7 separate regions of the Mus musculus genome follow, and regions 1, 2, 3, 4, 5 and 7 are each reported to be linked to region 6. Evidence: microRNA targets listed by miRTarBase, many of them from high-throughput screens and not tested one by one. Region 6 holds a microRNA gene; each other region holds the end of a gene's coding sequence.
What was found. The annotated mature microRNA mmu-miR-7b-5p reads UGGAAGACUUGUGAUUUUGUUGUU and lies in region 6 at 1,179-1,202, opposite strand. An mRNA with a match to its seed (bases 2 to 7 or 8) in the 3' UTR can be bound and repressed. Matches are read on the target gene's strand: a 7mer-m8 pairs with bases 2 to 8, a 7mer-A1 pairs with bases 2 to 7 and ends in A, and an 8mer does both.

Region 1: miRTarBase lists Raver1 as a target of mmu-miR-7b-5p. The part of its 3' UTR that is shown has no 7-base or 8-base seed match.
Region 2: miRTarBase lists Ddah1 as a target of mmu-miR-7b-5p. Seed matches in the 3' UTR shown: 7mer-m8 at 774-780 and 7mer-A1 at 2,989-2,995.
Region 3: the mRNA of Hp1bp3 is a reported target of mmu-miR-7b-5p. The part of its 3' UTR that is shown has no 7-base or 8-base seed match.
Region 4: miRTarBase lists Fbxo10 as a target of mmu-miR-7b-5p. The part of its 3' UTR that is shown has no 7-base or 8-base seed match.
Region 5: miRTarBase lists Septin8 as a target of mmu-miR-7b-5p. The part of its 3' UTR that is shown has no 7-base or 8-base seed match.
Region 7: the mRNA of Marchf9 is a reported target of mmu-miR-7b-5p. The part of its 3' UTR that is shown has no 7-base or 8-base seed match.

What each region holds. Positions count from the first base shown.
Region 1 is chr9:21,072,018-21,076,327 of GRCm38, reverse strand. Raver1 (ribonucleoprotein, PTB-binding 1) reads left to right here. Exons shown (of 13, transcript NM_027911.4): 11 at 221-364; 12 at 660-743; 13 at 832-2,170. The coding sequence ends at 978. It overlaps Fdx2 (ferredoxin 2), which reads left to right and starts at 2,797. Exons shown (of 5, transcript NM_001039824.3): 1 at 2,797-2,939; 2 at 3,010-3,064; 3 at 3,147-3,253. The coding sequence starts at 2,822. Gm38431 (predicted gene, 38431) reads left to right here. Exons shown (of 17, transcript NR_038081.2): 11 at 221-364; 12 at 660-743; 13 at 832-1,037; 14 at 3,010-3,064; 15 at 3,147-3,253. It overlaps Mir7082 (microRNA 7082), which reads left to right and starts at 740; the gene lies at 740-831.
Region 2 is chr3:145,891,132-145,895,441 of GRCm38, forward strand. It overlaps Ddah1 (dimethylarginine dimethylaminohydrolase 1), which reads left to right. Exons shown (of 6, transcript NM_026993.3): 6 at 311-3,146. The coding sequence ends at 427. Among named protein-coding and RNA genes, the nearest start is that of Gm35187, 2.6 kb to the left of the region's middle.
Region 3 is chr4:138,240,927-138,245,236 of GRCm38, forward strand. It overlaps Hp1bp3 (heterochromatin protein 1, binding protein 3), which reads left to right. Exons shown (of 13, transcript NM_010470.3): 13 at 520-3,757. The coding sequence ends at 814. Among named protein-coding and RNA genes, the nearest start is that of Sh2d5, 7.3 kb to the right of the region's middle.
Region 4 is chr4:45,031,985-45,036,294 of GRCm38, reverse strand. Fbxo10 (F-box protein 10) reads left to right here. Exons shown (of 11, transcript NM_001024142.1): 11 at 213-2,047. The coding sequence ends at 387. Polr1e (polymerase (RNA) I polypeptide E) reads right to left here. Exons shown (of 12, transcript NM_022811.3): 12 at 2,016-4,310. The coding sequence ends at 4,195. Among named protein-coding and RNA genes, the nearest start is that of Gm30939, 11 kb to the left of the region's middle.
Region 5 is chr11:53,547,918-53,552,227 of GRCm38, reverse strand. It overlaps Septin8 (septin 8), which reads right to left. Exons shown (of 10, transcript NM_001347496.1): 10 at 2,623-3,937. The coding sequence ends at 3,769. It also overlaps the pseudogene Cycl. Among named protein-coding and RNA genes, the nearest start is that of A430108G06Rik, 17 kb to the left of the region's middle.
Region 6 is chr17:56,239,909-56,244,218 of GRCm38, reverse strand. Mir7b (microRNA 7b) reads right to left here and starts at 1,231; the gene lies at 1,121-1,231. A230051N06Rik (RIKEN cDNA A230051N06 gene) reads right to left here and starts at 2,503. Exons shown (of 2, transcript NR_155493.1): 1 at 2,405-2,503; 2 at 1,414-2,063.
Region 7 is chr10:127,052,654-127,056,912 of GRCm38, reverse strand. Marchf9 (membrane associated ring-CH-type finger 9) reads left to right here. Exons shown (of 4, transcript NM_001033262.2): 4 at 2-863. The coding sequence ends at 342. Cyp27b1 (cytochrome P450, family 27, subfamily b, polypeptide 1) reads right to left here. Exons shown (of 9, transcript NM_010009.2): 9 at 3,907-4,259. Among named protein-coding and RNA genes, the nearest start is that of Marchf9, 5.4 kb to the left of the region's middle.

The DNA.
Region 1 (4,310 bases), not on the chromosome of region 6:
GGCTCACACAGGTGGTCAGTCATCTGTTGAAGTGAAGGTCACTGGCTCAGAGCATGGTGTCTCCCTGAGCCACTCAGAGCTTATCCTCTTGTGGTTCAGTCTGAATTTGCTACAATGGCTGTGGGTCCCAGAGGTCCCCAGAAAATAAACATGGACAATCTGAATCATGGTGGGCAAGGGTTCCTGCCATGGTTTTCCTCAGCTGAACCTTTCTCTGCAGATGTCCCCCCCACCTAGCAGCTTCAATGAGCCCCGAAGTGGTGGAGGCAGTGGGGGACCCCTCTCTCATTTTTACTCTGGCTCACCCACCTCCTACTTCACCAGTGGCCTACAGGCTGGCCTCAAGCAGAGCCACCTGAACAAGGTGAGTCTGCCCTACAAGGGACTGGTCTCTAGGACCATTGGAATGCCGGGCTGTGTGTCTGTATGTCTCTGTAGCCTTGTCATCCAAGGGGTCTCGGCGACAGCTCATGCTGCAGTGGTTTTGGCCCCTCTGGTTCCCACTGTTGAGCTTCCCCTCATCTCAAGTTGGCCTAAGGTGTGGGTGGTCTTAGCCCCAGAAGACAGATGAGAGACAGCTGGATTACCACCAGGCCTCAGTTCTGAGTTGCAGGCTAGGTGGCCTCAGGGTGACCTGCCCCACCTCTTTGACTCCCCAGGCTGTTGGTTCCTCTCCAATGGGCTCCAGTGAAGGGCTCCTGGGCCTGGGCCCTGGGCCCAATGGTCACAGTCACCTGCTGAAGGTACGGGCAGGAGGAGGGGAGGCACAGGGCTGGGCAACCCTGGCTCTGGGAGGCCACTGACCTGGCCCCCCTTGCTGTCTGTCTCCAGACCCCACTGGGTGGCCAGAAACGCAGTTTTTCCCACCTGCTGCCCTCACCTGAGCCCAGCCCAGAGGGCAGCTACGTGGGCCAGCACTCCCAGGGCCTCGGCGGCCACTACGCGGACTCCTACCTGAAGCGGAAGAGGATTTTCTAAGGGGTCGACACCAGAGATGCTCCAAGGGCCTGCACCAAGTTGCTTTTGGGTTTTTTCTGGTATTTGTGTTTTCTGGGATTTTATTTTTATTATTTTTTTTAATGTCCTTTCTTTGGGTAATAGAGAAATCTCTGCAAAAGACTTTGCTGACCAACCAGCTGGAGCTCAAGGAATGTGGGGTATCTGGGGCCACACCATTACCTGTGGGCTTGCTCCTGGAGCCAAACCCTGCAGCCTTAAGAGAGAGGGGCCTGACCTGCTCTCTTTCCCTCCCTAGCTCCAGGCCTCCTCTCCTGCCTCGTCACTCCTGTGTTCTGGCCTCTTGAGTGCCTTTGGAGGTGTCTCTGACCTGTGAGGATCAGAGACAGTCCCCGTTTTTAAACTTCGACAATTGACTTTTATTTCCTTTTCTAATTTTTATTATTTTTTAAAACAACCAGGATGATTATCACATCTACTCCCCCATCCGTCCAGAAAAGCCCCAAATTGATTCCTTCAGGGTCTGGCCTGCCCAGGCTCTATTCCACATGTGCAGGTTCCAACAGCTTAACCCTATTCTCTTCCCAGTCATCTGCTGCAGGTATAGCTGTCTCATGCCCCTGCCTGCCTATTCTGGCCAGTACCCTAAGCCCCAAGATCTCCAGCCCCTGCCCCAGTATCCTTGCCTTCTGATGCCTTAAAGTTGGGCCACAGGTCCTGCTGGGTCAGAGCCTCACAGATGCGGAGCTCCAAAAGCTCCGCTCAGGACCAAAGAGCTCTGGCCTAGGGTTCATCCTTTCTCCAGGTGTCTGCCCTGTGGACAGAAGGCTAAAGCCTTGATCTTGGCAAACCACCCCTTTTGCCCAAAGCCTGGATGCAGAGACCAGTATTTTCTGCTGGCTTCAACAGTCTCCCCTGCTGTCTGTGAAAGGTGACCATTGTACCCAGGCCACTGGGCCTCTACCATGTTCTTTCAAACCCAGGTCATTACCATCCCCAGGCTGGATCACTGGAGCAGGCCTCCTCTCTGTCCATGTGAGGGGGACCTAGGGGCTCTGCCCTTAGCCAGCTGAGCCACCACCAGCCTCCCTCCCCAAACATGATAACCCAAACCCACTCCAGTGGGTGTATCTCACCCCCTCACCCCACCCCCACCCCCTGCATAGACCTTTGCTGAATTAAAGTTTGTAAGTAAACGGTTTTAAAAAAAAAATCAGAGCTGGCTGGTTCTTGATATAAACCATGGGCCAGCAAACTAGCTCAGAATTCTGGTAACACAGACAGCCTGAGTTTTATCCCTCTGCCCCAAATGGTGGAAGGAGAGAACTGACTCCCGCAGATTGACCACTGACCTACACACATGTCACGGATGGGCTCATACACACAATCCCTAAAAATTTAAGTTGGGCTTGGAGGCCAGCCTGGTCTATATGAATTGCTTAGAGACTTAAGAATTTCTCAGTCTATAGAGATTCTGTCTCAAACAAAATTTAAATACTGGTTGCACATAACCGGTAATTCCAGCAAAGGAATTCGGAGATCAAGGCCAGACTAGGGGATCCTGTCTAAAAATTAGAGAACTCAGAGGTTGGTCCCAATTGCCGAACGTAGTTTTAGTTCCCAGCCCCACACTACCCATCAACTCTTCTGGGCTCCATAGGCACCCACTTGGTGCACATACGTACATATAAGCAGAACACATACAGTACGACCTAAGGGAAGAAATATCCAACCACAGGGCGAGGCCGGAAGTCCAGCTAGATCCCAGTGCATCACCTTTGACCTCACACGGCGCCCAAACGCTGCGTTTACTGTCGCTGAGGACGCGCAGAGCATGCTAGGTCTTCCGGTCACGTGGCCTATCATGGCCGCCTCCATGGCCCGGGGCGTGAGCGCCCGGGTCCTGTTACGGGCGGCCGGGGGATCTTGGGGACCCAGGGCCGGGCACGCGGCGGTAACATCTAGGACGTTCGGGACTACAGGTACATAGGGCTGGGCCGAGCCGCGGCGTGCAGCGAGGCCGCAGCCGCTCACCCACTCGTGTGTTTCCAGGCGAGCGGCGTGCTGGCGAGGAGGCGGCGGACAGCCCGGAGCTGCCCCGGGACGTGTGAGTGCCCCTCGTGCCACGCCCTGCCCCTCCCTGCCACTCCCTGCCTCCGGCTCAGCACCTGCACCCTGTTTGTCCCCAGGGTCAACGTGGTGTTCGTGGACCGCTCTGGCAAGCGGATCCCGGTGAGGGGCAAAGTCGGGGACAATGTTCTATACCTGGCCCAGCGCCACGGGGTGGACCTGGAAGGTAGGTCATATGAAACTAGGGAGATCCTTGGCATTCTTATACCTTTTTGTAATTTTGAGAGGTTTCCTATAGCTCAGGCTCGCCTCGAACTTACTATGTATCAGAGGATGACTTTGAACTGCTGACCCTCCTGGGACCTGGTGTGCACTACCACAATCCAATACTTTTGTTTAGGTGGTGTATGGGTGGGTCCGATCTCACTCTGTGAATCAGGCTGTCCAGGAACTTAAGTATGTAATCCCGGCTAGCCTCCAACTCATTGCAGTGAACCTACTGCCTCCACTTCCTGAGTCCTGAGACTACAGGCATGTGCTGCCTACCATATCACCAAATAGGTGGGATGGGAAGAACTGAGATGGAGTCCATGTTATTCAGGCTGTTCTGAAATCAGCTATATAACCAGGCTAGGCTCAAACTCACAATAGTGATGCCCCTGCCTCCACCTCTTTAGTGCCAAAATGGTTAAGACAGAGTCTCTGACTTACCCTTAAACCTGCTGGCTGATCATACTGCCTTAGCTTTCTCAGTTCTGAGAATACAGGTTGTCTCTACTGTTTTACCACCTTTGCGCTAACGCCAGTAAGATGGCAATAATGAAACTGGAAAGGTCGCCAGTGCTGAAGACTGCAGACGGCTTGTGAGAAGACCTGTGTTCTCTTCCTACCACCAGCTCTGTGCCAGGCAATTCACAGCCTTCTGTACCAGTAGTGCCGGGCACACTACCTCACCTCCATGGCACCTACTCACATGCACAACCCACACAGAGACACATGGAAACACTTAAAAATCTTTCTTTAAATTAACACTAAAATAAAACTAGGTTTTGGAGCAGCCCTTACTGAGCTGCTAGAATCTGTGCTCTCTTGGAAATTGTGGATTCTCCATGTTGACCCCCCATTCTCTAGTGCTGCCGCTGACTACCTTTTGGGGAGAGGTGGAACTGAAGCGGGATCACAGATGCACAGTGCTGTCCCTCACCACTCTCTTGCTGTTTTTCAGGCATCACAGCTCAGTCCTGTCCTAGCACCTCTGTGCTTATAATGTGAGAGGTGATTTC
Region 2 (4,310 bases), not on the chromosome of region 6:
GGTGGGATGTTCAGACAGGCACACAGCCATGGGGTCTGATTAGCACTGGATTCAAGGACAATGGCAGACAACTCCGCAACAGTCACATTGGAGACTATCCTTCATTTGGAAGTTTAAAAAGCACAGAACAAGGGGTCAAGCACATGTGGCCAGCTCTGGGGTGGGTTTGTGAACGTGTGTATTTTGGGCCTAAATGACTAAAAAGCATGGATACATGAGCTGAATTAATTCTCTGACCCCAAGGATGATGGAATAGGCCAGGATGTAACGCCCTCTCTCCTCTTCCTTCTTGACTCCCACTGTCTCACAGGTCTATGAGAAACTCAAGGACCATCTACTGATCCCTGTGAGCAACTCGGAGATGGAAAAGGTGGACGGCTTGCTCACCTGCTGCTCCGTTTTTATTAACAAGAAGATAGACTCCTGAGCCAGAGAGTCCCTTCCCTGTGGCCAGCAAGTGGCCGAGGCCAGGCTGATGGCTCTGTACCTATTCCTCCTTTTTCCTTTGACAATCTACTGGGCCACTGTGCTACTAACTCTTGTTTACAAAAAAAGAAAAGAAAAACTAATTCCAATTTTAATCACCTCATTCCCCACACCCTCCTTTTCCTCACGGTGGTACCTAACCTGTGCATTCGCTAAAAGAATTAAGCAACCTAGGAAATACAGAACTAACGAATCATTGGAATGCAATTGATAGCGTGGAAGCCCCTCACTTCAGTGTTTGTGTCCTTAATGTGGGAATGATTTAGCTGCAGGGCATTCTGAAGACTGTCTTCCCGGCCAGCCAGATAAGCAAGGGACTTTCTCTGTATCATGAATCAAGCTTGGCTCCTGTGAAATTCCCTAGAACGTGGATTTTTTTTCCCATTCCCCTCTCTTCTCGCCCCTAAAAACCTTTCTTCTGGGTCTTTCTGTGGTCTTCTCCGCTTCTTTCGTAATCGCCTTGACCTTGGATTTACCCAAGCTCTTGCGTTCTGGATGTCATCCCGAAGGTCCAACCTGTGTGCACTCCTCTCTCTCTGCCTTACAGCCACCTCTCCACCACCAGCAGCAAGTCAGAGTGGCTGGTCGGGGAACAGGAACCTCACAGAGGCACACCCTGACAGGCTTTCCCATTGCCACACCTAGGAAGGTAAATCCAGCCTCAGGTGGTTGATGCAGGATGTTAGATACAGATGCCTAGAAACACCCCATGGGTACATCTTAGAGAGACTGAGTCACATGCCATGAGTTTGCCTCATGACTAGTCCTGTAGTATGGAGGGAAGTCTTTCTCCACTCCACCACCTCCGCCTTTCTGAGCTTCCTTCTGACTCGCCTTGTATCTACCCCCTTAGAATCATCATGATCTTGAGAAAGTCATTTCCTTCAAAAGAGGCAGAGCATGTACAATGATTGCTGATGGTCCGGGGAGAGCCAGAGGGGGCTGCCTCCACCCAGGCCTGGGAGCGCAGTCAGGAAATGGTTCCTAAGGTCAGCCTCAAACAATGTCTGAGTCTCCTGTGAAATATCCATGATTGTTTACTGTGGAATTCAAGTGAAACTTCAAATTACACAATGCTCAGCTGGCACAGGTCGCTCACAGAGAGCCATGCATGCCACAGCAAAGAAGGAGAGCATTCCTTTTTTTTTTTTTTTTCTTAAAAGCTGAAACAGAGCAGGGACATGGTGCTTTACAATGCACAGTGACCCAGCCAGGCATGTCATCAAAGTTCTGGTCACTTCTACCTTTGCTGTACAGTCTGCAGTTTGTCATTCAGTATTTAAAGTTCAGGAGACAAAGACTAAGTCAGATCTATCTCTCCTTTGTGATCAGTGTTTCTCATAATGAAGACAAGAGAGGCTGGTCTCCATTGCATTCCCCCCAGTGGATAGAAGTGAGACAATCAGGGCATCCTTCATCACTCTTCTCATATTTGGCAATCTCTCTGAAGACATCTCCATCTCTTCCTTGCTTCTCTAACTTTAGACTCATAGCACATGCAAATATCTAACTCTGTGCACCCTGCGAATGAACCATATCCTGATCACTGTCATATTTCACAACATATCATGAGTGAATAATTATGTTTTTTCCAGGGTAAATGAATGTGAGCCAGTTGCCTAAATTAATAAAGAAAACTTGTTCTCAGCAATTATGGTTGCCTTTGGGGGTTAAATTTGACCATATACTAGTAAAAACAATTTCTCCTTGAGAGAGGTGACCATCTCAAAATCCACCACAGGAAAAACAGCCCACTGTATATGTACCAGCATGCAACTGTCACTGACGTCCTTTCTCTCATCCTGTTACGTGCAGTCAGTTACGAGTGAGTAGATTTTCCATGGCAACGGTTTCTTCTACCAGAGGTGGTTTTCCAGTTCCCGTTTCCTTTGCGCTCCTCTTTCCTTGTTTGTCCTGAGAAATTGACTAGAGTTGCTGCCTCTTCCCCATCTTACTCTGCTCTTCAGACCCCCTGTGTGATTCAGAGATGTGAACACGCAAAATACACGCAGCATTGCCCCTTCGATGTTCTCATCACATAACGTTACCTCTAAAAGGGAAAATCATTGCCCCAGTTCCCCTCTCGTCCGTTGTGTCTCACAAAGATGGGAAGACCAACAAAAATGCTTCTTGATATTACAACAATGTGAGGAGTTACATTTAACTAAGTCTATAGCTTGGGTAAGAAGGATCAGGTCAGTATGAGTTGGTTTAGTGAAGAGATGAGCTAGAAGGATTGCATAGTTAGCACTATGTCTTTAACTGGTGGGTTGCTGTACCAATTGGTTGCAGATCTCCACAGCGTGTTCATTGCACTAAAATGCTACTAGGAACCAAACACTAAGGCCGTCATCTCTATATCTCTAAGAAGGGAAGTTAGGCCAGGCTGTAGTCTCACAGTGTGGCCTGTGTAGGGTTGCATGCTACTCTCTAAGACATTCAGACATAGTTTCTGTGCGGTGTTAGGTTTGTGCTTTTTTTTTTCTATCTTCTTGCCTGCCATCTTCCAGCCAATGTGTGGTTATCCAGTCTGTGTGCCAAAGTCAGCCATATCTCCCACGACCTGTTAGTCCAGAGGAGTTCTGCACCGACGCTAGTTGCCAGCTGCCTGCTCCTAATGTACACCAGTCAAGACAGAATAAAATGTGAGTTGTACCGTGCCCAGTAGTGTCTGTCTCGTTTCTTCTTTTACCATGTTGCCCAGTTGGCACGTTATGGCATTCCATTCAGCTAAGCGGAATGACTTTTCTTCCTTTGTTCCTGATGGGAAGTAGTAAGGGAGACGGAGGGGAGGAGGGGAGAGGGCAGAGGACAAAGGGGAGGCAGGGAGAGGACAGAGGAGTGTGCGTACACGATACACTTACAGGAAAACGTCTGTGAAACCCATCTCTACGTACAGTGAATAAACAGCAGCAAAACTGCTTTGAAATGAGGGTTTTTTTTAATTTGTTTTACAGTAAGAACTTTAAAGGAAATCTGAAGGTTATTCTTTATGAGGTTTTTGTATCCCAGTAGCTTTTTGTAATCTGAAAGAGCCGTGTTTTATTAAAAAGGCAATAACTCTTCACTGTGAAAATAAAACCCAAGCAATACAAAAATACTATCTAAAGCATCAAGATGGGGTTATCAGAATAGCTCAGCAGCTAAAGGTCCTTACCACAGAAGCCTTGCAACCAGAAGTCAACCCCCAGGATCTCACAAGCTGTCCTGTGATGTTCACACCTGCAAGGTGGCCTGCGCACACCTATTCATGTACCTCATACACACACAGTGCTAATAATAAAATGTATTTCAATTTTTACTTCAAGAAAAATTACGCAAAATCTCATCCCCCGTAGATAACTACTCTTAACATTTCAGAAAATACCACACATTTATGAATAGATATTGAATAATTCGACATCGTTATAATATTCTAGAGTCTACTTTCTTTGTTCAAAAATGAATTAGAGGCATCTTTCCACCTCAGCAAAGACAGGTGTACATCACCAGCTGTAACAGCCCCTAGTCTTCCACAATACACCTACAGAATGGCCCTTCCTAAATCCCACGATGACATCACCCACATGTGTTATGTTCACATTGCCCTTAGGGATCCTCAGACTGTCGAAATGCGCCACTTAGAGGCTTCCACACAGCCCCACAGTTAGTTCAGTCCTGTCATAGTAACAGGATGCTACACCGTAGTGCTCCCCAGATGGGCAGAGCAGTCCTCCAGCTCCTTGGGGAGGTTGAGGGGTCAAGCAAGTGGATACCCATACCTTCTCAGTTGATGTAGCTAACGAATTCTCTACTATTGGTTGCCATGACATTGACAATAGAGC
Region 3 (4,310 bases), not on the chromosome of region 6:
TGATGAGTCTAGAGTGTGCCTAGTATCACTCAAAAGCATTGCTGAAAAGCGGGGCTAAGGGTAGGAATGTGTTTTAACCATTTAATATCCTCAGGTTCTTTGAGTAACATTTAAACTATCTTCTCCTTTCAAAATTCAAGGACTCTAAACTTCAGGCATTGTGAATACATAATGTCTTTTTCTGGTCAAACATAGTATAAATGTTTGAGAAATCAAGGCAAATTTTTTTTGTTTTTTGTTTTTTTGGGATTTTTTTGTTTGTTTTGTTTTTCGAGACAGGGTGTAGCCTTGGCTGTCCTGGAACTCACTCTGTAGACCAGGCTGGCCTGGAACTCAGAAATCCGCCTGCCTCTGCCTCCCGAGTGCTGGGATTAAAGGCGTGCGCCACCACGCCCAGCTAAGTTTTTGTTTTTAACATAGTGATTTCTATGTAAGTGATTTCTTTAAGCAGAAGGAGATTGTCCTAGCAAATGGCTTTCTCCTGTACTCAGTGATACATTTATTCTTGTGTTCTCACAGCTTACAGAAGAAAACACCAGCCAAGTCCCAAGGGAAGACAGCCTCCATGAAGCAGAGAGGGTCGAAGCCTGCGCGGAAAGTCCCGGCTGCCCAGAGAGGGAAAGTGAGGCCGCTGCCTAAGAAAGCTCCACCCAAGGCCAAGACCCCTGCCAGGAAAGCCAGACCCTCTCCCTCAGTCATCAAGAAGCCTAGTGGGAGCTCCTCCAGAAAGCCCATAGCCAGTGCACGAAAGGAAGCGAAACTGCCCGGGAAGGGCAAATCTGCCATGAAGAAGTCTTTCAAGACAAAAAAGTAAATTTTATAGGGAAAAGGGTATCATGATTGAATTCAGAATCTTACTTTATAAGGTCAGTGTGCATTTGTTCTAGTTATAATGCTTTTAAATTGTACTTTTTCTTCCCATGTGAGCATTGTGGGAAGGAATGGACACAGAGCAGCGTAGACATTTGTGAGCTTCGGTGCTGTTCAGTGCCTGCTTCTTCATCACCTTAATTTCTGCCATAACCTGGACTTCGCTGACTGTGTGACTGCCCTGCTCCCTCTGTTCATCTTAGCCCCAGCCCTCGTCCTCTTTCTGTGATCCGATTGAGGATTTTTTCCTCCTTCAAGTTAATTTAAACAACTGCAGAGATGTGTTTGTAGAGCACTTAGAGGTCTGGGGCTGGAAGTCCAGACGGCGCAGGAGCAGTGTTGGGAAGGCTTTGCGTCCTGCCTGCAGACTTGCTAGAGCTGTGGTGATTAACCCTGGCTGTTGAATCACTCCACTGACCAGTCTCCAGCTTGAGTCGGGGACATGTTAACTTCGGAAAGAAGCCCCCGTCCCTGCCATCCCATAGATTCTGAAGGGCTCCTCTCCTCCGGTCACGCTGACCAACTGCCAAGCTCGCTTTGCTGCCCAGAGCACTGTCCCCTCACAGCAAGCACAAGTTGTCTGCACCACTTGGTTTCTGACTGAAGGGGAAGTACAGGACTACATGGAATCTGATTTCTGGTGTTGCTTATTACCAAAAATGACAGAATATTCTTGATCAAATGTCTAGATATATTTTTAATATTTGGGGCATGAGTTGTCCCTGTTTGAGAGTTCCCATTACTAATGTAGAAATGTTAAATGGTAAAACATAATTTGCTAAAATGACCAGTTTTCAGATTCACCTGTGCGTGTGCCCCCCACTCCCATCCCACCCTGTTCTTTCCATAGAACTTTTGATATCAGGCAAACGGTTTCCTTTTTGAGATATTTTAACAGAGAAGGGGTGGGGGAGAAGCAGATGAAGCTGTACTACCCAGCCCTCTTCTTGTTTGTATTTGTTTAGGGTTGTGAGGTTGTGTAAAATAGTACTAGCTTCTTACTTGAGAACTACAGTTTCTGCTTATCATTTATTCTTCCTTGTGGCACTTAATATTTTAATTGTCTTAAGCTTTTTGATGTATATATCCTCTGGCCCCTTACATGCTGCCAGAGGAGAAGGTGTTTGTTTGAGATTCATTCCACTTGAAGTGTCTCCTGGGATCCCCACAGCTGCGTATGGCTGGGAAATGGACTTAAGGCTTGGGCTTGAATTGGTGGCTCCTACCTGTGAGGTCCCATCGTGAGTCACTGGGATTTGTGTTGCATGGAAGGCAGTCTTTCCTGTTGTAAATCTTCCTTTTTTATGTACAAATATTTTGAAAAATATGAATAAACATGAACTTTTAAAAGCTGCTGAACTACAGCTTAGTGAAAAGTTTCCAGTACCTGTCCTGCAATCTCTCCTCCTGCAAGGGATACCATGGCTTCCTTTTTCTTTTGAGTTCTTACTTTGATGGTCATTTATTTTATATATATGAGTACACTGTAGCTGTCTTCAGACACACCAGAAGAGGGAGTCAGATTCCACCAAAGAGTCATCTTAGGGGCTGGAGAGATGGCTCAGCATTAAGAGCACTGTCTGCTCTAACAGAGGACCTGGGTTCAGTTCCCAGCATCCATATGGTAGCTCATATTTGCCTCTAACTTCAGTTCCAGGGTTTCTGACACTCTCACACAGACATACTTGCAGACAAAGCACCAATGAACATAAAATAAAAGCAAACTTGTTTTTTAAGAGAGTCATCTTGAGGCTGTGGTGGCATACACCTTTAGTCCTGGCACTTAGGAGTCAGAAGCAGGCTGATCTCTGAGTTCAAGGCTACCCTGGTCTTTAGAGTGAGTGACAGCCAGAGAAACCCTGTCTGAAAGAAAGAGGGGGTGGGGGAGGGAGGGAGGGAGGGAGGAGTCATCTTTATTGAAAAACTTTTCTCAACATCATAAGAGCCTAGTTTTTTGTTTTTAATTAACATACAAAATTCAGGTTAGACTGGGGAAAAAAATGACAGCACAGTTACAGACAGTAGCCCACCACAGAGATCTCTCTCTCTAGAAAGCTTGAATTCCTCATATGTGTGCCAGGGACTGGTTACTCATAGGGTATTGTTAGCTACCTGAGCCAACAATTCTCTGCTCTTATGGAATCAAAAATTGCAGGTCGGTTTTTCTGTGTTATACAGTATTGCTTGTACAGAGGTTTGCTGACTGCTCAGCTGGCCCCTGCCCCATACATCAGACACTGTAACTTGTACTATGAGAAGCTGGGGTCATGTAAGGTCTCTCTCTCTGCTCTGAATGCGCCTTAACAAAAGTTTAGGGTAGGACAGTCTGCTTTAACGTCCCAGGAAAGGTAAAGACTGGATCACTCAGCTCCAAAGGCCCAGCTGTCCAACACATACACTTTCATACCTGACAGAGAGGCTTTTGATTTCTGTTTTCATCTGTGCACTCTGCAGAAGACATTTACAGACTTTACTTTTGTGTTAAATGAGAAGAGAAAACGCAGGAGGTGGGTGTCTGGCCTAATGGTCTGTCTGGTTTAATAGTCTTTCATAGACTCTGAAGTCGCCTGCTCCAAAGTGGTTGAAAAATGAGTCTCTGAAGATGCTGGAAGCAAGGTGGTTGGCTTAACTTGTATTCTCAGAGACTCATTATTACTTTATTCCGTAGTAATGTGATAAAGGCAAAGTTTATTAGCACAGGTTAGACCTAGTCCACATGAGCATAACTGCAGGAAATCGAGTCCTGTATACACCCCAGAAAGGACAGGCTTGGTGGCCCATGCCTGTCAAGGCAGCAGTGGGAGCTGTTTGCATCATGTCTGTTGACAATAGTTTGAGTAATTTATGGAAAAACAAGATCTAAATAAATGTAACCCTTGGATATAAACTTGGCTTGTCCATTAATTGTTATGTAAACTTGTTACTTAGCTTTCTCTTGCTGTAACAAAATAGAAATAATCTCTAAGGAGGAAAGGCATTAATTTGTGCCTTACTGTTAAATTCCTGTCATAGAACACCATGACCAAGGCAACTTAGAAATTGTTTAATTTGAGCCTCAATGGTTTCAGAGGGTCCAGGATCACCATGGCAGAGAGCATGACAGCAGCCACTGGAGCAGTGGCTGAGAGCTCACCACCCCCCTCCCCCCAAGACAGGGTTTCTCTGTGTAACCCTGGCTCTCCTGGAACTGACTTTGCAGACCAGGCTGGCCTCAAACTTGGTAATCCACCTGCCTCTGCCTCTGCCTCCCAAGTGCTGGGGAGAGCTCACATCTTGATCCACTAGCACAAAGCAGAGCACTCAGTGTGAGTAGCATAGGCTTTTGAAACCTCAAAGCAGACCCTGATGACAAACCTTCAGCTATGTCGCACCTCCTAATCCTTCCCAAACAGTTCTACCACCTGGGGAGCAGATATTCAAATATATGGGCCTGTGGGGGT
Region 4 (4,310 bases), not on the chromosome of region 6:
CCCCTGATTCATATCCAAATCCAGGAAGAAGAGGAAGTTGAGGGCCTAAGAGGAAATGTGACCGTTGCTTAGCCTCAACAGCAGTCAGTGATTCAGGAGATAAACCCACACCTAGATTTGAACTCTGAGATCCAGAGAACTAGAACCAAAGGTGAGACGCAGCCACTCACAAGCACCGTCTCTAGATTCATGGCTTTCCTTTGCATCCACAGGTCTGATACCTGGCGCCTGGTGAACCCACCGGCACGGCCCCACCTTGAAAACTCACTCAGGGGCTCCTCTGCAGCCCACAGTGGGCATAAGGTGACAGCCATGGCAACCAGGATCACAGCCCGTGTGGAAGGTGGCTACCATAGCAACCGCAGCATCTTCTGTACCATCCTGTAAGCAAGAAGGCCTGCCTCAGGCCCAAGCCCAGGTGTGTGCTCGGAAGAGCTACAGGCTGACTGTTGAGGTGGAAGTTAGGCCTGGGAAGATCCTAGACCCATCCCCATGTTACACACCTGAAACCCTCGGCTGCCTGGGGACTAAGAACCAGGTTCCCCTAGAACCCTTTAGCTCCACAGCCCCAACTGGAAGGACCTTGGGAACATTTCCCCAGGAGAAAGGGAAGCGCAATTGGAGTGTTTCTAGTCACTCCGGCACTTAGAGGTTATGAAGAGCCGCGGAGGCTCAGACAGTACATGCAGTTTTTAGGTCACTTGTTCCAAGCTACAGAGAACCTCACTTCACGCAGACCAAAATCAGACTCTTCTCAGGGAAGAGAGCACTTCTGAGCAAGGGAAGTGACTGTGGTGAGGTGGAGACAGCCGCCCCTTTCCTGGACCTTGACCCTCTGGTCCCTCTTGGGCCCATGCCAGCCTCCCAGCTGCCTCTGGGAGCTGCAGGGTTTCTATTAAAGACAGTTCTCCTGGACTAGCACATGGCCCTGTGAGCAAGGAAGGGGCTTGGAACAAGGACTTCTTCCTGAAAAGCTGCCCCAGGAATGACAAGGGGACATGCTATAAATAAGAGGGGCAGGGGGCTGCCTTCAGGTGTGAGGCAGGTGCTGGCCTGGGCCCCGTGAGAATGAACAAAGTTCCGCTGTCCCCAAGGGGAAGTTCAGCACCCGTCACAGGATTCTGTGTGAACACACACATTCCAGCTGCCCCTACAGAGTCCAGCCTGTCTGGATGGAGGCACCCCCGACCCCACCTCACCCCACCCTACCCAACCCAATCCGACGTGCCCACGTCCTCGTGGACGATCAGCTGCCTTGACCAGCCCTACCAGATCCCCCACTCTGTGCCTTGGCTTGTGCTTGTTTTTCTCCCTGGCATGCCCTTCCCAGACAGCTCCATCCGTGCAGATCTCACCCTTTCCTTGAGGGTTAGCTCAGACACTGCCGTCTCCACGTGACTCTCCCCTGGCTCCAAGTGATTGATTGTGTTGCTCACCACCCTCAGCCTTGCCCGCCCTCCTGCTCCCTCAGGACACTGAGCACTTTCTGCCTTGCTTTGGAACTCTGGGTCCTTACATACCCTGTCCTGCCCATTTACCTGTGAACTCTCGGAAGGTAGAGCCACCTGTCTGTGTCCTTTTGTCCCAGCCCAGAGTCAGAGTTGAGTTAGTGGCCAGCTCCCAAAGGGCTTCACTAGACTGTACTGAGTGTGACAGGCTTTGAGAGTCAGGTGGGCTTGGGTCTGCACGCAGGGCCAGCTCTGCCTGGACGAGCCCTTTCCCACTTGGCCTTTACTGCAGGGCCCTCACCAGCCTTTGGGGTCACTGTCCTACACTGGGCCATATCCCGTGCTGGTTCTGTGGAGCCCTAGGTGCTGCTGTGTTAGGTGGGTGGGAGGGGGAGCTCTGATTTCTCCCTAAGCACTCTGGGGAAAAGAACACTGGCCCTTCCCATGTGTAGCACTGTTCACTGCACTTGTTTGGTGGCCCCAATGTGAGTCGCTGTATAAAAATGCTGCCTTTGTTATTTTGTAAGAAATGACTTTTCTGTGAAGCAAGTACTTACAAAAATCTCAGTAACCAAAATAAAGTTCTATATTTTAAAGGAGGTGCTTCTGGGGTCATAATTTGGTCCACACATTTGCTGGAGGTTCAGTGACCAGTAGGCCTCCCCACTGGTACCACCACTTCCACTGTGAGACTGCAGAACTCAAGACTCTCATCAGCTTGCTCCTGCTATGGCTCAGAATTCAGAGCTGAAGGGCTCCCTCTCAGGGTCTCCATCTCACTCAGAGGCTGTTCCTCTAGCCCTGCCCAGGGGCCTCTCTGAAGACAAACAGTGACACTCCTTCATTGGGGTCACCTGCTGAGCAAAGGGTCTTAAGATACAAGAGCACACCTTCCTGGGCGTGGGTTACTCGCTCAGCATCTTAGTTTTTGCTGTACTCACCTGAGGGTTAGTCCTGTTTTAGTATTTAGACTTTTTACATTCATTTTGTGTGTGTGCATGCAGAGGGCAGAGGACCACCTTTGGAGAAGTTGGCTCTTCTCCCATGTCGGTTCCAGGGACTGAACTCAAGTTGTCAGGCTTGGTGGCAAGGGCCTTTACTGAACACTAAGCCATCTCCTGGCCCTAGTATTAAATATTGTCGTCAGCATTCTTAGTCTTAAATTGATTTTAATAGTTTGGTTGAACCCACAGCAGCCCACCCCTAAGCTAAGGTAAACTTGCCTTTTAAACTCCTCCTTCTGGACAAGGGACGTTCAGGGACAGTTGCCTCTTGCTAACTTATCTCGTGGGCTTCTTGCTGCTTTTTCAAGTGATCATGTTTAGCCGAGGCCAGCCTTGAACTTGTCTCTCCTTCCTCTTCCTACCAAATGCTGGGATGGCAGGCATGTGCCACCATTCGGCTTAGACTGCAGCCTGTTGCCACTGGCTGTTTCATGTATCTCATCATCCAATGTGGCGCTATTTCCTCGGTAGCGTGGGCTGTGTGTGGAGAGGCCAGAGTATCAGGCATCTTCTAGTGCTCCCTGCCATTTTCCTTTGAGGCAAGGCTTCTCCTGTAATCTAGCCGGGCTGGCGGCCAGGAAGCCTGGATGGCATTCCTGCCTCAGCTTCCCAGTGTTGGGAATGTGGGTGCTGGTGTTTGTGGGACCTTTAACCTCAAGAGCTCTCTCCAACCCTGAAAGGACAGTTTTTGTTGTTGTTGAGCCTGTTGATGTGTGTACATGCCACAACTCGCTAGTGGAGAAGGGACTACTCGTAGGCGCCAGGTCTCCACTTTCACAATTTGGACCTATGAGAGGCTTCTTGTCAACTTCTGTCTTAACCTCCCTTGCAGAACCATGGCCACAGATCATTTGGTACTGTTAAAACCTCCAGCCTCTATCTGCAGTTCCCCTTCCAGATTCCAGAAACTTTATTACCAGCAGTGGGTCTGTCGAGGCCTGAATCCAAAGCCAAGTGAGGTGCCAAGCTGACGGTTCGTGCTTGCCACATGCACTCATCCCCAGCCCCCACTCACTTGGCCAACGTGCCTCTCCGCATGGTCTAAACAAGGAGGAAAAGCCGTGGTTATCACTTCCTGACTTGGCCATGCCGTATCAGAGTAGGCTGGTAAGTTAGATGGTGCTGCCAACCCAACAGAGCTGTAGCCTCCTCCTCTGCCTACTAGGCCTTCAAGGACCTCCCTTTTGTTGTTTCGAGACAGGGTTTCTCTGTAACCCTGGCTGTCCTGGAACTCGATCTGTAGCCCAGGCTGGCCTTGAACTCAGAAATTCACCTGCTTCTGCCTCCTGAGTACTGGGATTAAAGGCGTGCGCCACCACTACCTGGGTTCCAGGTCCTGTTTATAAACTTTTGGCTCCAAGTTCACTCTGATAAGATCTTTTGGCTTTAACTTCCACAAGACCTTCTCAATCCTGCACATGACTCCCAAGGAGAAACATCTACCACTTCTAACCACTGCAACATGAAAGGAGGGAGATGAAGTCAAACCTGGGCCATCACTTTAATTTCTGCATAAGAGACGCACAGCTGGAATGCTGGCTTCTGGCATGATAACCACCCTAAAGTAAGGCCTCGGGGGTGTGGTGGAGCATGATGGAGTCCCAGAGAGGCTCAGAATTCACAATCCTCCTGCCTCAGTCTCCTGAGTACTTTGGGTTATAGGTTTGTATCACAAAGTCCAGTCTACTTTCTTTTTCAAAAAAATAAAAATGGAAGTGAACAGAAGTGGCTGTGGAAAACATCTAGTTCATTTTCCTCCGCTTTGACTGTCGATCAGAGTTCTGGGCTGGAGGCAGTGGGACAGACAGAGTGCCCAGTCTGTGACTCTCTTCCCTGCCATCTGCCAGGGACACCTTTT
Region 5 (4,310 bases), not on the chromosome of region 6:
CTCACAAAGCCCGACCCTTCCTCATACGTACCCCAGCTGTAAGGTCATAACACGCGGCTGTGAAAAGCCAACCTGGATCTAGGCTCCATCATGCTGGTGCCTAGGGTGAGAGAGACTTTTTAAGTCATCTTGGAGTCTTGAGTAGGCTCTGCTCTCCTGGAGGACCTCTGGTGGCCTTTCGAGGAACAGCACACATTCTGAAACTTATATCATGTCTATCATGGCAGAGCTCCAACTGCCCGCGGCCTATGCTGGGTCTCCACTGGCTGCTTCCTAATTCCCCGCCACTAGCCCTCCTGCGCAGAGACATGTGCCTGTGGCTTGGCAACGATCCATCACCTCCTCCGCGGTGCTCAGGCCCTGCGCTGTCCGGTGTGGTTTCCCTCACCTAGCCAGCAGGTGTTTCTGCCTTAGAACAAGCCACCGAGGGCTGCTTAATTACATCCGGGTTTAAAATATGAAAGCCCCTTTGGTTACCTTAATCAGGAGGCCCCTGCCACTGCTGGACCAAAACTACCTCCAAACTTGGTGCTCCCCTCTTCGATTCTTTTCCCAGCAAGTGGAGATGTGCCACACCTTGCAGAAAATCCTCTCCAGGTTCCTAATGCTAAGAATAGCTTCCATTTTTCGGGGGTATGTATACATATATAAACTCTGGTCCTCTGCGTGAGCCATGTGCAGTCTTAACTGCTGCAGCATCCCTCCAGGCGTTCCTTGCTGGCCACATTCAACCTGGCGATCTTCCTTTTCCCTATCTTCCTACAGTTTCAGTAAAGGTAGGGAGGCCTCTGTGGGACAAGTGACTTCAAGTCTCTTCCCAGAAACTTGACTAGATTGTGCCCATGAAGTTGCTACTTAGTGACTCTGAGACCCCTCTCTGAGGGTAGCAGGGGACCCGAGAAGAGCAGAAGCTCTGAATGGGCTCCAAGTTAGCGTGGCCATCCGAGTTTTACTGTTGCTTTCTGTCAGGAGATGGTTTCCCAGTCACCTTCCCAGATCTTTACATTGTCCTCTGACCCCTTCCACTTGGAGGATAGGGACACTACTGTCATCTCTCCAGTGCCTTCCCAAGGCACTGTCCAAGGAAGTCTCCAAGGAAGGAAAATATGGCTTGTGTGTCCAGTTCCAAACCTTCAATACAAATGTTTATTACAATATAATTTGTGGACTGGAGAGATGGCTCAGTGGTTAAGAACACATTCTGTTCTTGCAGAGGACCTGGGTTTCTTTCCTAGAGCCCACATGAAAGCTCACAAAAAAAAAAAAAACAAAAAAAAAAAATCTAACTCCAGTTGGAGAGGATCTGTCGCCCTCCTCTGGCTTCCTGGGGCACCTGCACTCATGTGCACATACCACTACACACACACACACACACACACACACACACACACACCACACACACCACATAATTTTTAAAAATCATTTTTTAAAGATACACTTTGTGCCCTCTAAAATTTCTTTTTGCCAGACCAAACCTCAAGTGAATGACCTTTAAAAGAAGTACCTTTGAAGGCTATAGTAATATCTGTTTCTCTCAAAATGTAGGACTAAATCATGAATGCCCTTGATATTTGGAAGTCAGCAAAGTCTTCTGAAGATAAAGCCGGTTGTGTTGCTTTTGGTTTGGTTTTGGTTTTGACTTTCAGAGACAGAATCTTGTATAGCCAGGCTGGACTCGAATTCACTAGAGAGCCAAAGCTGACCTTGAACCCCTGATCCTCCCGCCTCCCCCTTCCCAGTGTTGGGAACCACCATACCTGAGAGAACATAGTTTCCTCAGAGCTGAACCATCTTCAATAAAGGCTGAAGGAAGTGGGTGGGGCTAAGGATCGGTCGGTAAAGCGCTTGCTGTGGTGTGAGGACCTGAGGTGGATTCCTGGACCCATGTTTTAAAAGAAAGCTGGGTGTGGTGGAATCACTAGGGATTGCTGGCCAGCTAGCTCATTACTTGACAAGTTCCAGGCCAGGAAGAGATGAAAGGCCTGTCTTAAAAAACAAAAGGTGGTCGATACCCAAAGAATGATATCCTCTGGCCTCCACATGCATACACACACATGCACACCACACACATATACACATGCATACATACATAAACACATACACACATACATACACACATACACTCATACACACACACACAATATACAATACACAATACACACATACATATACACACACACACATACCCCAAAGAGAAAATAAGGTCGAGGGAAGATATGGGGATGCAGAGCTGTGAAGGCCATGGGGAGTTTGTCAACTGCACGTCCAGGAAGCTGGAAGGCATCTTTATTCTTTCTCCAAGCAGCCATGCGGGGATTGGGAGGAGTGAACAAACCCACAGCTCTGAGGAAACCTGGGTGAGCCCTTGCAGCTGAACACGCATGACCCAGACCAACCTCTGAAGCACCTTTGTGTCTGAGCTGGCAGGCAGTGGGGTCTTGAGACCTTTTGCAAAGGGGGTCCATGCGATGTACATTACAGCATTCCCACTTCCTAGCGGTTTGCCAAACAAGCAAGGTGTGGCTTGGCTTTTCTTCCAGAAGTCTTTTCAGAGGCAGGCCGCTGGAAGACAATCTACTGTGTGTGGATGCCCCAGTCCCCATGGCTAAGAAAACAAGTTACTGTAACATGATGTCAGGCTTTGGCCTCCTTTATTTATTTATTTATTTTTTTTACAGTCAATTCCACGTGTAAAAGACGTCATAAAGCGTTGTGGCTCTAGCTGTACCCCAAATGAGCTGCTGAGGATGGGGTAGGCTATTCTGGACAGACTCCATTAGGACCTCCACGCGGGAATGTCGCTGGGTTTCTTGATTATAATGAGCATGAGTTTATAGAGTCTCCCTGAGACTCGTCTGTGCCTTTGGAACAGCTGTTTACAACACAGAACAGGCAAGGCACAGGCGTGCAACACGTCCTTGCACATGCACCACGGCGAGGTGACCCATAAAGGCTCACAACATACGGAAGAGTGGAAAAAAAATGTTATCTTTATACCCCACGCCATTCCACCACCAGACTCTCACGTCTAAAGGACACAGAGATCACTTGACAAAGACATTTAAACGGCACTATTATGGTCTGTTTCTCTCTTAGATACACACTGCAAAAATATTTAACTTTCCATTCTATGAATATTGTATATAAATATCTGTCTGCCTTTACTACACTTTACACACATTCACTTAGCTGTCTTTATTCACCTACACACAATCCTTACTGAGGCGTTAGACCGCACTGATCTGGCACTTAAAAAATATCAGGTATCGGTTCATGTTGGTTTTAGTTGGGGGGATGGGGGGGCCATCTTTCAGGATGTGCTTGTTAGTAAGGCAAAATTATGCAAATGAGGAAATGTCATGGCGTTTTGGTCTGTTATAAAGCATGAAGGTTAAATTACTAAGGGCAGTTTCGTTATGGAAAACTGGTGCTGTTGACAAAGTTCCTGGTTTCTTCTCAGGTCAAGCGGTTACAGGTAACTTCCCCACTCCCTTTAATAGCAGATTCTTGAATTTCTCAGAATCCAAACGTGGCTGTCTCTACACTCTAGCCTCAGAGTTCCATGTCACAAATCAGACTGTCTGGGAATGAAAGGGGTTGGACCACACCAGATGCTTCCCTGATGAAAATCGGAAACCGTTTGCACTTTTGGTTGTTGATATGTGAAAACTAGGGGGGAGGGGCCTCGGTCCTAACATTAAAAAACCATGGTCTCCAGTTCCACGCCCTGATGGTCCGGAGCTGGCCCCGTGTGGTGGAACTGTGGCCTCAGAGGAATCCTTCCCTCCACGTCGCGTCCCTGACCAGGCAGCTGCAGCACTGGATGGCAGGCCACCAGCTGCTGCAGTTCAAGGGCTCCACATTTGCTTTAGTCATCATCACCTTAGAGTTGGAGAGGCTCATGCCCGACTGCTGTGCTGCGGCTATATCTGATCTGCTAAAGAAAGCACAGGTAGACATCAGCTCGGCCCTTCTAGCTGACACGTTCTGGGCTGCGGGGGGTACCGTGACCCTTCTTGTTCCTATATGAAGATGCTTGGAGCGTGACGGCTATGGCAAGAGTCTGACTGCAGGCCATGCTTTCTGTACATGGTCACGCTGTGCTCCCTGGGCATGGCAGACCTTGGACTCACGGGAAAGGGTTTTTGGTGGTGGGGAACAAGAATACAAGCAGTCCATTGGCCAATAGGATCGGGAATGGGCAGAGGACTAGGAGAAGTAATGTTGAGGATTACAATGAATTATGTAATAATAAATGAAAGAGTATAGGAGTATGTGGTGACAGACACAGGGTGGGGGATGCCTTGTCG
Region 6 (4,310 bases):
AGTGTTCAAAGCCATCCTGGGCTACATTCAGAGTTAGAGAAAAGCCTGGACTACAGGTGACACTGTCTCAAAGCAGGCAAAGTGAAAAGAGTGAGGAAAAGAAAACAAGAAAGAGAAAAGAATTTCAGGGTTTTCTAGAAGTACCTTTGATGCCAATCCCTCTTTTAAAAGTTTTATGGCCGGGCAGTGGTGGCGCATGCCTTTAATCCCAGCACTTGGGAGACAGAGGCAGGGAGATTTCTGAGTTCGAGGCCAGCCTGGTCTACAGAGCAACAGCCAGGTCTATACAGAGAAACCCTGTCTCAAAAAACCAAAAAAAAAAAAAGTTTTATGTATGCACATGCTTTTAATTCAAACACTCAGGAGGCAGAGGCAGGTGGATCTCTGAATTTGAGGGTAACCTGGTCTACAGAGTAAGTTCTAAGACAGCCAGGTTTATATACAGAAACCCTCTCTTTTTTTTTTTTTTTTAAATGTAATTCTTTTTTTTTTTTTTAAAGATTTATTTATTTATTATATGTAAGTACACTGTAGCTGTCTTCAGACACCAGAAGAGGGAGTCAGATCTCATTACAGATGGTTGTGAGCCACCATGTGGTTGCTGGGATTTGAACTCTGGACCTTCGGAAGAGCAGTCGGGTGCTCTTACCCACTGAGCCATCTCACCAGCCCCAGAAACCCTCTCTTAAAAAAAAAAAAAAGAAAAATTTTTATGTGTGTTTATTTATTTGTGTGTGGAAGCATGTGTGTCACAGGACATGTATGGTCAGAGGACAACTTGCAGGAGTTGGTTTTATCCTTCTACCCAGTTGATCCTGGGGCTCAAGCTTGGGTTCCCTAATTTCAAAGCACTCTTTCCCTCTGAGTTACTCCACTGGCTCACCATTCCCTATTTGAGTCTCCAGAGAAAGCACGGTGCTGTGACCCAGGGCCCTGAGGTTGTGTCTCTGATCCTATCATGTAGATGTGTTTGAGTGACAGGCCAATAGCATGGGAAACACTCCTGCACTCTCCCAGGGCCCGAGACCTTGCTAGACACCCTCTCCTGTCCGTGCTAGACTTCCCTTAACCCCCTCCTGTCCCAGTTTCCTGCCCCTACCTGTTTGTGTATTTCAGGAGAAAGGTGATAGGAGTCCACGCTATGAGGCTGGCTGTGACTTGTTGTCATATCATATCAGAACAACAAAATCACAAGTCTTCCACATAGCACTGGCTCACGTACTCCGCTCCTCGTCCTCATCCTCCTCCGCCAGGTTCAACACCCTCAAGTGCTTCTCTCTCTCTCTCCATAGAGGATTGAGCATAACAAACCCCACTCACTGACTTACCCTCCCTAGACATCCCTTTTCCATTCCATCCCCTGAGACACAGGCAAGATTCATTCTCTACCTGCCCCCCAACTCACACCCTGGCACATCACCAACGTGGGATTTATTGTTCCAGGCACGAGGAGCACACACTTGTCACCCCAGCACGCAGGGAGTAGAGGCAGGAGGATGAGAACTTCAAGATCATCTTTGGCTACACAAGGAGTTCAAAGCTTGGTCTACAGTGTTTTAAAATAATAATAATTATATATATAATTGAGAGAAAAACTCTTTTTAAAAATAAAAAGAACTTGAGATTTAAAGTTGGATTGAGGCTGGCTTTCCCCTCACCACTTCACTTTGGAAATTAGTACACCCAGAGGCACTCATAACATCTCGTTGACCAAATGCTTCGCCTGTACTCTGTGAGTTTGAAGCCAGCCTAGTCTACATAGTGAGTTTCAGAACAGCTAGAGGTACACACAAAAAAACCCTGTTTCAAAAAAGAAAAAAAAAATCCCTCCGTAAAGGACAAATGCCAAGAACCATTAAGAGGTTCCTTCCCTGTACACTCTCCGCCAGAACAGACCCCAAGGCGATCCCTGAAGCTGGGTGTTGAGAGCTTGGCACTGCCAGGGGCCGGGTGCTGAAGCCTAGTCTCTTCGTGACCCGCTGGGAGCTGTCCGAAATCCTGGTGCTGAAGCCGAACTCTGCTCCGAGTCCCTCAGCCGGATGGCGCTGTCCGCGTCTCCAGTGCTGAAACATAATTAGTTATTGGGGGAGGGGGTGGTCAGTGCGGCTCGAGGACACTCTCCCAGCTTCTGCCTTCTGCCAAAATGCCCCGCTCCTTGTTTCTGTTCTTCGTCCTAGGGACCCATCTTCTGTTTTAATCTCTTCCCATGGACCCGGGGTGTTCTAGGCGGGGACGAAGGCGCAAGGCTCTCACCTGCTCCCACATCTCAGGGAGACAGCCCTGGGTTCTCTGCCCTTCCTAAACAGTCCAGTTGGCCTTCTGGAAGATGTGCCAACTTGCATTGTACCCAGAGTCCCCGCTTCCCTCCCTCAGCGCACCTTTTCCTCCTTCCTTCGTGCCTTACCTTCTCCTGCTCACCAGCAGCTGCAGGTGTCTCGGTGGCTGTCCAGTTTCCGACGTTTCACCTTTATGCGCTTAAGGGGAAGGCGGAGCGCTGGAAACCCTGGGTGGGGCTTAGCCAGTGAACCAATAGGAATCGTCTTGGAATGAAGCTCCAAGGATTACCTCATAGGTTGAGGCCTCGGCTTCAGAATAAAAGTCAGGCATCCGTCCAAAAACTTCTTTAGGGGTCTCCAGAAGGTGTCAGGGTGTAGTCCTGTGGCCTGTTAAGTTTCCACGAGAGGATCATCTAAAACCTGATCACTGAGTAGCCAGAGGATTAGCGATCATCAAGCGTGTGCCTGCTGGGACAGAGAAGCTGAAAAAAAATGTTTGAAGAAATTGAGGGATTTTGAAAATAAAGTCCAATTCTACACAGGGAAGATGAAGTGTGCGGGAATGAGACTCACAGAAGCGTAGGATAGAGGCGGAGCTCTGGCGATTTTTGTTTTGTTTTGAGTTAGGGTCTTGATTTGTAGTCCATGATGACCTCAAACTTATGATTCTCCTGCCTCAGGCTCCCATCAGGAGTTTGCCTCCACACTAGATTGATGCAGTGCTGGGAATGGAACTTAGTGCTTTCTGATTGCTGGGCCAGCGCTCTGTCCCTGAGCCCTAGTCACAGTTTCCCCCCTCTAACACAGTCTCTCTCACTTTTGTGATCCTCTTGCCTCAGCCTTCTCAGCACTGGGAAGGCTGGTGTGTGGCACATCACACACCTTCATTTACATAGCTTCCTTTGTAGCACCAAAGGGACAGACAGTCAGGGAGGACACACACTCAGGCTTGTAAATCTCCTACCAGCTCCTCAGGCTGCGGAGCTGGCAAGCCAGGTTCATTCTATACACCCTAGGGGCATGGGAGGAGGGGCTGCAGGGAACCTGGGATGAGACCCTGGAAAGCCACCTGCAAGATCTAAGCTCTGATCAGTTGTCCCTTTCCCTTCTAGCAGTCTCTTGGGTAAAACTTGCATGCCCCACGCCCTTTGTTTTTCTCTCTTATTTCTTCCCATTCTTTCAATTTGGATATGAACCCAGAGCCTTGCAGTCCCTCAAAGAGCTAAGTCATCTCCCTGAAATTATAAGATTTATTTATTTATTTATTTATTTATTTATTTATTTATTTATTTATTTATTTATGTGCACATGCACAGTACATGCATAGAAGTCAGCAGAGAGCTTGTGGGTCCTGCAGCCCACATTTAATTTAATTCATTTTAAACCTTTGGAGAATTCTTGTTCTTTTTATTGTTTGTTTGCTTGCTTGCTTGCTTGTTTGCTTTTTGAGACAGGGCTTCATTGTGTAGCCCTGGCTGTCCTGGAACTCACTGTGTAAACCAGGCTGGCTTCAAACTCAGAAAGATCAACCTGTCTCTGCCTCCTGAGTGCTGGGATTAAAGGTTGGCATCACCACTGCCACGCTGGAGAATCGTTTGGGGCTACGGGAAGCTGTTTGGCAGGTTTCTTCTCTCACATTTGTGAGGTCCTGTGTTCCATGTCCGCACATACAAATCAATAGAAAGTGAAACGGTGTGTGAAAGCCCACCCTCATGCATGTGCACACACGCGCCATGGTGCTTATCTGGAGCTCTGTGAAAGCCTTGCACGAGTAGGTTTTCTTCTTCTGCCACATGTGTCCCAGGGATAGAACTCAGGCCACCCCACAGCAAGTGCCTTCACCCTCCAGCTCCATTGCCCCCACACATCTCTCAGGATTGAATCACAATCATTTTGTGGATGGATTTTGTCCATCAGATATTTCCTAGTTCAAGGACTCAGAGTCCTTGAACTACGCCACTGTTTGGACATCATGAAGAAAATGTCCAGGAACTTACACATGTGCTTCCTCATGTGTGCTATTTTCACTGCCAT
Region 7 (4,259 bases), not on the chromosome of region 6:
GGCCTCATCGTCCACGAAGGGTCTTCTGTTTACCGCATCTTCAAGCGCTGGCAGGCCGTGAACCAGCAGTGGAAAGTCCTGAACTATGACAAGACCAAGGACGTGGGAGGAGACACAGGGGGAGGGGCGGCAGGGAAGCCAGGCCCCAGGACCTCACGGACCAGCCCCCCTGCAGGGGCCCCCACCCGGCCCCCAGCAGCCCAGCGCATGCGCATGCGGACGCTCTTGCCTCAGCGCTGTGGTTATACGATCCTGCATCTCCTCGGACAGCTGCGACCACCAGATGCCCGTTCCAGCTCTCATTCTGGTCGAGAGGTTGTCATGAGGGTCACCACAGTCTGACCTGGACTCCAGGAACAGGGATCTTAAGTCAATGCATCAGCCAGAGGCGAGCCCTCCCGGCTGCTGGAGGTACGACCTAGACAACGTGTTTGGGGCACGGTGACCCCACCACTGAGGATCTCTGTGGACAGCCGCCAGCTTGGAGACATTGTCCGGCCTACTGCCCACAGGGTAGAGACCCCTGGGTGACGTTCCAGTTCCCACAGACACCGCCTCATACTCACCTTGAGGATGGCCAGCAGGCAAGCGGGGAGAACCACTTTTCTTCCTGGAGAGAACCATCTTTACCTCAGCTTTAAGCCTCCAGTCCCCTGGCTCCACCATGGTGACTTGGTAAAGGGAGACCAATGCCAGAAAACAAGGGGCTGTAGACACCCCCCACTCCCCACCCCATGGCCACAGGGCATCTGGCAATAAGACTACTAAACATTGACCTCCCGTTCCCTGCATGAGGCGGGGGACTTCCCCCTGCTCCGCCCCCCACTGCATGGGGGAAGGGCATAAAGAATCATTTATATGCGCGTGGGGCCTCCTTTCTCATCTGGGGCTCTTCTGCAGGGATGGAGGGTATGGGGGGGGGCTCCTCAGCACGGGTTGGGTTGCACTTCCCAGAGGTGCGTATGGAGTTGGAAGAGGGACCCCTCCCGCCCCCCTGCTTGCTGGTGAGTGACTCACCTTGGCTGCTAGGTGTCAGTGCTCAGAGGTAGCTGAGGACGGGGTGTGGGCTTGTCACCTGTGAGTTTTATGATTTAGAAAAGAAAAATCTGAGCTTTTTTCTTCCTGTCTACCTCACAGACTCGAGGATAAATGGGAGACAGGTTGAATACTATGACAGAGAAAACTGACGGGTGTATAAAGGGTTCCGGACTAGTTGCCACCAATTACTTTAGACAGTAGGTGATAGAGCAAGTTCTGAAATGTGGTTTCTGTCAGAAGCGGCACAGAACTTTGGTGTTTTTGAGAGACAAAGTAGAGAAGCAAAAGAGGAAGTCGATACTGCAACTGTGTAGGACAGTGGCCGTTGTAGGATCGAGAACCCTTCTGACCCTCCAAACACCGGACCTGGGGTGGAGGGGCAGCTGGGACTGCACAGCCTGTCTGAGAACAGCCCTTTCCTTCAGGTACTGTGTTCCCCCAGAGGAATGGTGGGAGACCAACATGGACTCAATTAGGGTGATGGGGACAGAGCCTCCTCCCTCAGTGTTATGACTTTAACCCCAATTGAGACATTTTCTGTGGCAGTTTAGGATCACAGGTTTGATCCAGGTGTGCCCGGCTAATGGTATTACTGAGAGAGAGAGGCGTAAGAACTCTTATTTATTATAGAAAGGATTTGGGGAATGTGGGTCTAAGGGCTGGGGGTGTGGGTTAGTGGTGTGCATGTGGTCCTGGGGCTAACTCCCCTACCACCAAAAGAACTATGTGGGTCAGCTTGAAGCTTGATTCCCTTCCTCCTGAAGCCAGGAGGGAGGCTGGGTGTTAATATGAATGACGGTGTCTTTTTTTTAAGTGAACCATTCATGAGCAATTAAAAAATTCCTTCATACATTGCTAAAGTCAGACCCAGAGGGCTTTCTTACTATTGGTCCTCTGATGGACCAACAGTTTCTGCTTTGCCTCCTCTTGGGAGGCTTGGAAACAGTGGGTGTCTTCTAACAGCCCACCTACCCTGGAACACAGGAAACCTTGCTCCATGCCTCTCCAGCAGGGGTCTTGGCTGCTGTCCTTGGTGCTGGCCGCAGATTGGCCTGCGGATGTAGAAACCAGGGCTGTGCTGGGGGTGGGGTGGGGAATGTCTGACTTAATTCCAAATGTGAATGCCTTGAGAGGATCAGAATGAAGAGGAAACTGAGGCTGCCAGCTCTCTGGCAGGAAACCTTACCCAGAAGCACACACCCTCCCCGCTACCTGGAAGCAGAGGGCGCTGGCTTTATTGATTTGTTATTAACAGAAGAGTCAGTGGAGATCAGATGGGGGACAGAAAATCAGCAATGACTAAGTCCGTGTTGGCAGAAGGGACTCAGGTAGATAAGACACATCTGGGGCTTCTGGGCCAAGCCTAGGTGTTCCTTGCAATGGTTCTCCCTGGAAGCTTAAGCATACTCAAGAACACACACATATATATACATATATATATCCATGTGTATATATCCCAAAGGCCCACTTCCCCCTCCCTCCAACACCGATGGAGGTCTCGGGATGGGGCTGTGCACATCTGCCAATATAATCTTTTCTTTTTTCCTTTCTCCTAACTTACACAAACCTTTGTCTAGGGGTCATAGGCGCTGCTGCCTCTTCAAAGTGGCACTTCTGTCTAGCCACCAGGCAGGACAGAATGGCAGGTCCTTTATTCACTGGGAAAACCTTTCTCATGGGCTCAGCTTTACCCACCCCCAAGCTCAGATCTGCTAAGACTCGGGTATTTTATGTTGAAGTTGAACTTGGTGGTAGAGTAGAAGCAGATAATGAGCGAACAGAAGAGACAAGAGGAGGAGCAAGACATGTCCAGTGTCATGGCCTCCGCACAAGGCGTCCAGCATGCCCTGCTCTACTGGGTCATGTGTGATTTGATCTCCATGGGAAGTCCACTGGCTGGCAGGGTCTCTGGTTAGGGAGCCATGTCTAGGATGGGCTGGAGGAAGTGTGAAGTGGAGTCTCTACCCAGCTAACTGGAGTGTGAGGGAAGGATGGAGAAGGAGGCAAGTCCTAACATGGGGGTGAGCTGGATCCAGACACGGGTGGGTGCGTAGAGTGCCGAGAGATTCATTGGGATAGAGGATGAGTTAATCTGCTACCTCACAAGGGGAGTACTGTGTGCAGTCTCTGAGGGGGTGGGGGGCAGAGAATGCTGACTTGGGGAAACAGTGACTTGGGGAAACAGTGTGCGGAGCCCTCTGTGCTCCAGGGCTCCGCACACTCTGCTTTCATCCCGCCTGGGTGGCTCCTGCCAGAATCCAGGTCTTTCTTTGAAGGAGGGCAGATTAGATATTCTAGGATGCCCTTCAGTGTTGGCTGTTCAGGTTCTTTTTGTTTGTTTGTTTTTTGTTTTTGTTTTTTGTTTGGTTTGGTTTGGTTTTGGTTTTTCGAGACAGGGTTTCTCTGTGTATCCTTGGCTGTCCTGGAACTCACTCTGTAGACCATGGCCTCGAACTCAGAAATCCTCCTGCTTCTGCCTCTCAAGTGCTGGGATTAAAAGCATGCGCTGTCCAGGTTCTAAAAGCTCTTCTTTCACCAAGAGTCGAGCCCCCTCTGGTCATCTCTGAAAAACCCTAAGCGCTCAGACCCATTTTACAACTTAGCTCCTACACTCGCTGTTCACCCCCTTAAATCTCCACTAGAAAGCCAGACGAGACTTGGCTGTTCCCACTGCAGATAGAAACATGTCTGGGTCTGTCACAAAACACTCTTTCGAATGGATCATCCAGACCTCCCATTGTTATGGGAGTTGCTCCCAGGAGCTGAGAGAAGCCAAGGTGGGTGATGGGGCTCCGGATCTTGCCAGGCATGGCGGGGGGTAAGGTGAGGGGAGTAAACCCAAAGCCAAGGAGTAAACATTTTAAGACGTAATATATATAAAATTTTTAATATAAAAAAGACAGGCTGGAGGAGGGGCAGGCCAAAAGATGGATGATAAGAAGTGGATCCACTTGAGAGTGGCTGAAGAACCAAGGTAGCGGAGGCTTAAAAACGCTGTAAATTAGGCAAGGGCAGATTTACTTCCCTAGAGGAAAGATTAAGAGAGAAAAGGGTGGGCAGAGCCTGGTGAGTGGACGATCCTGCCACATGGTCCAGGTTCAGTCTGAGAATGTATGGTGCTGAATAGCCAGGGATAGACTCTGGCAGGAGATAGAAAGACTGATACAGCTGGAAGTGGTAGCTCAAGTCTGTAACCCAATACTTGGGAAGGTGAGGCAAGG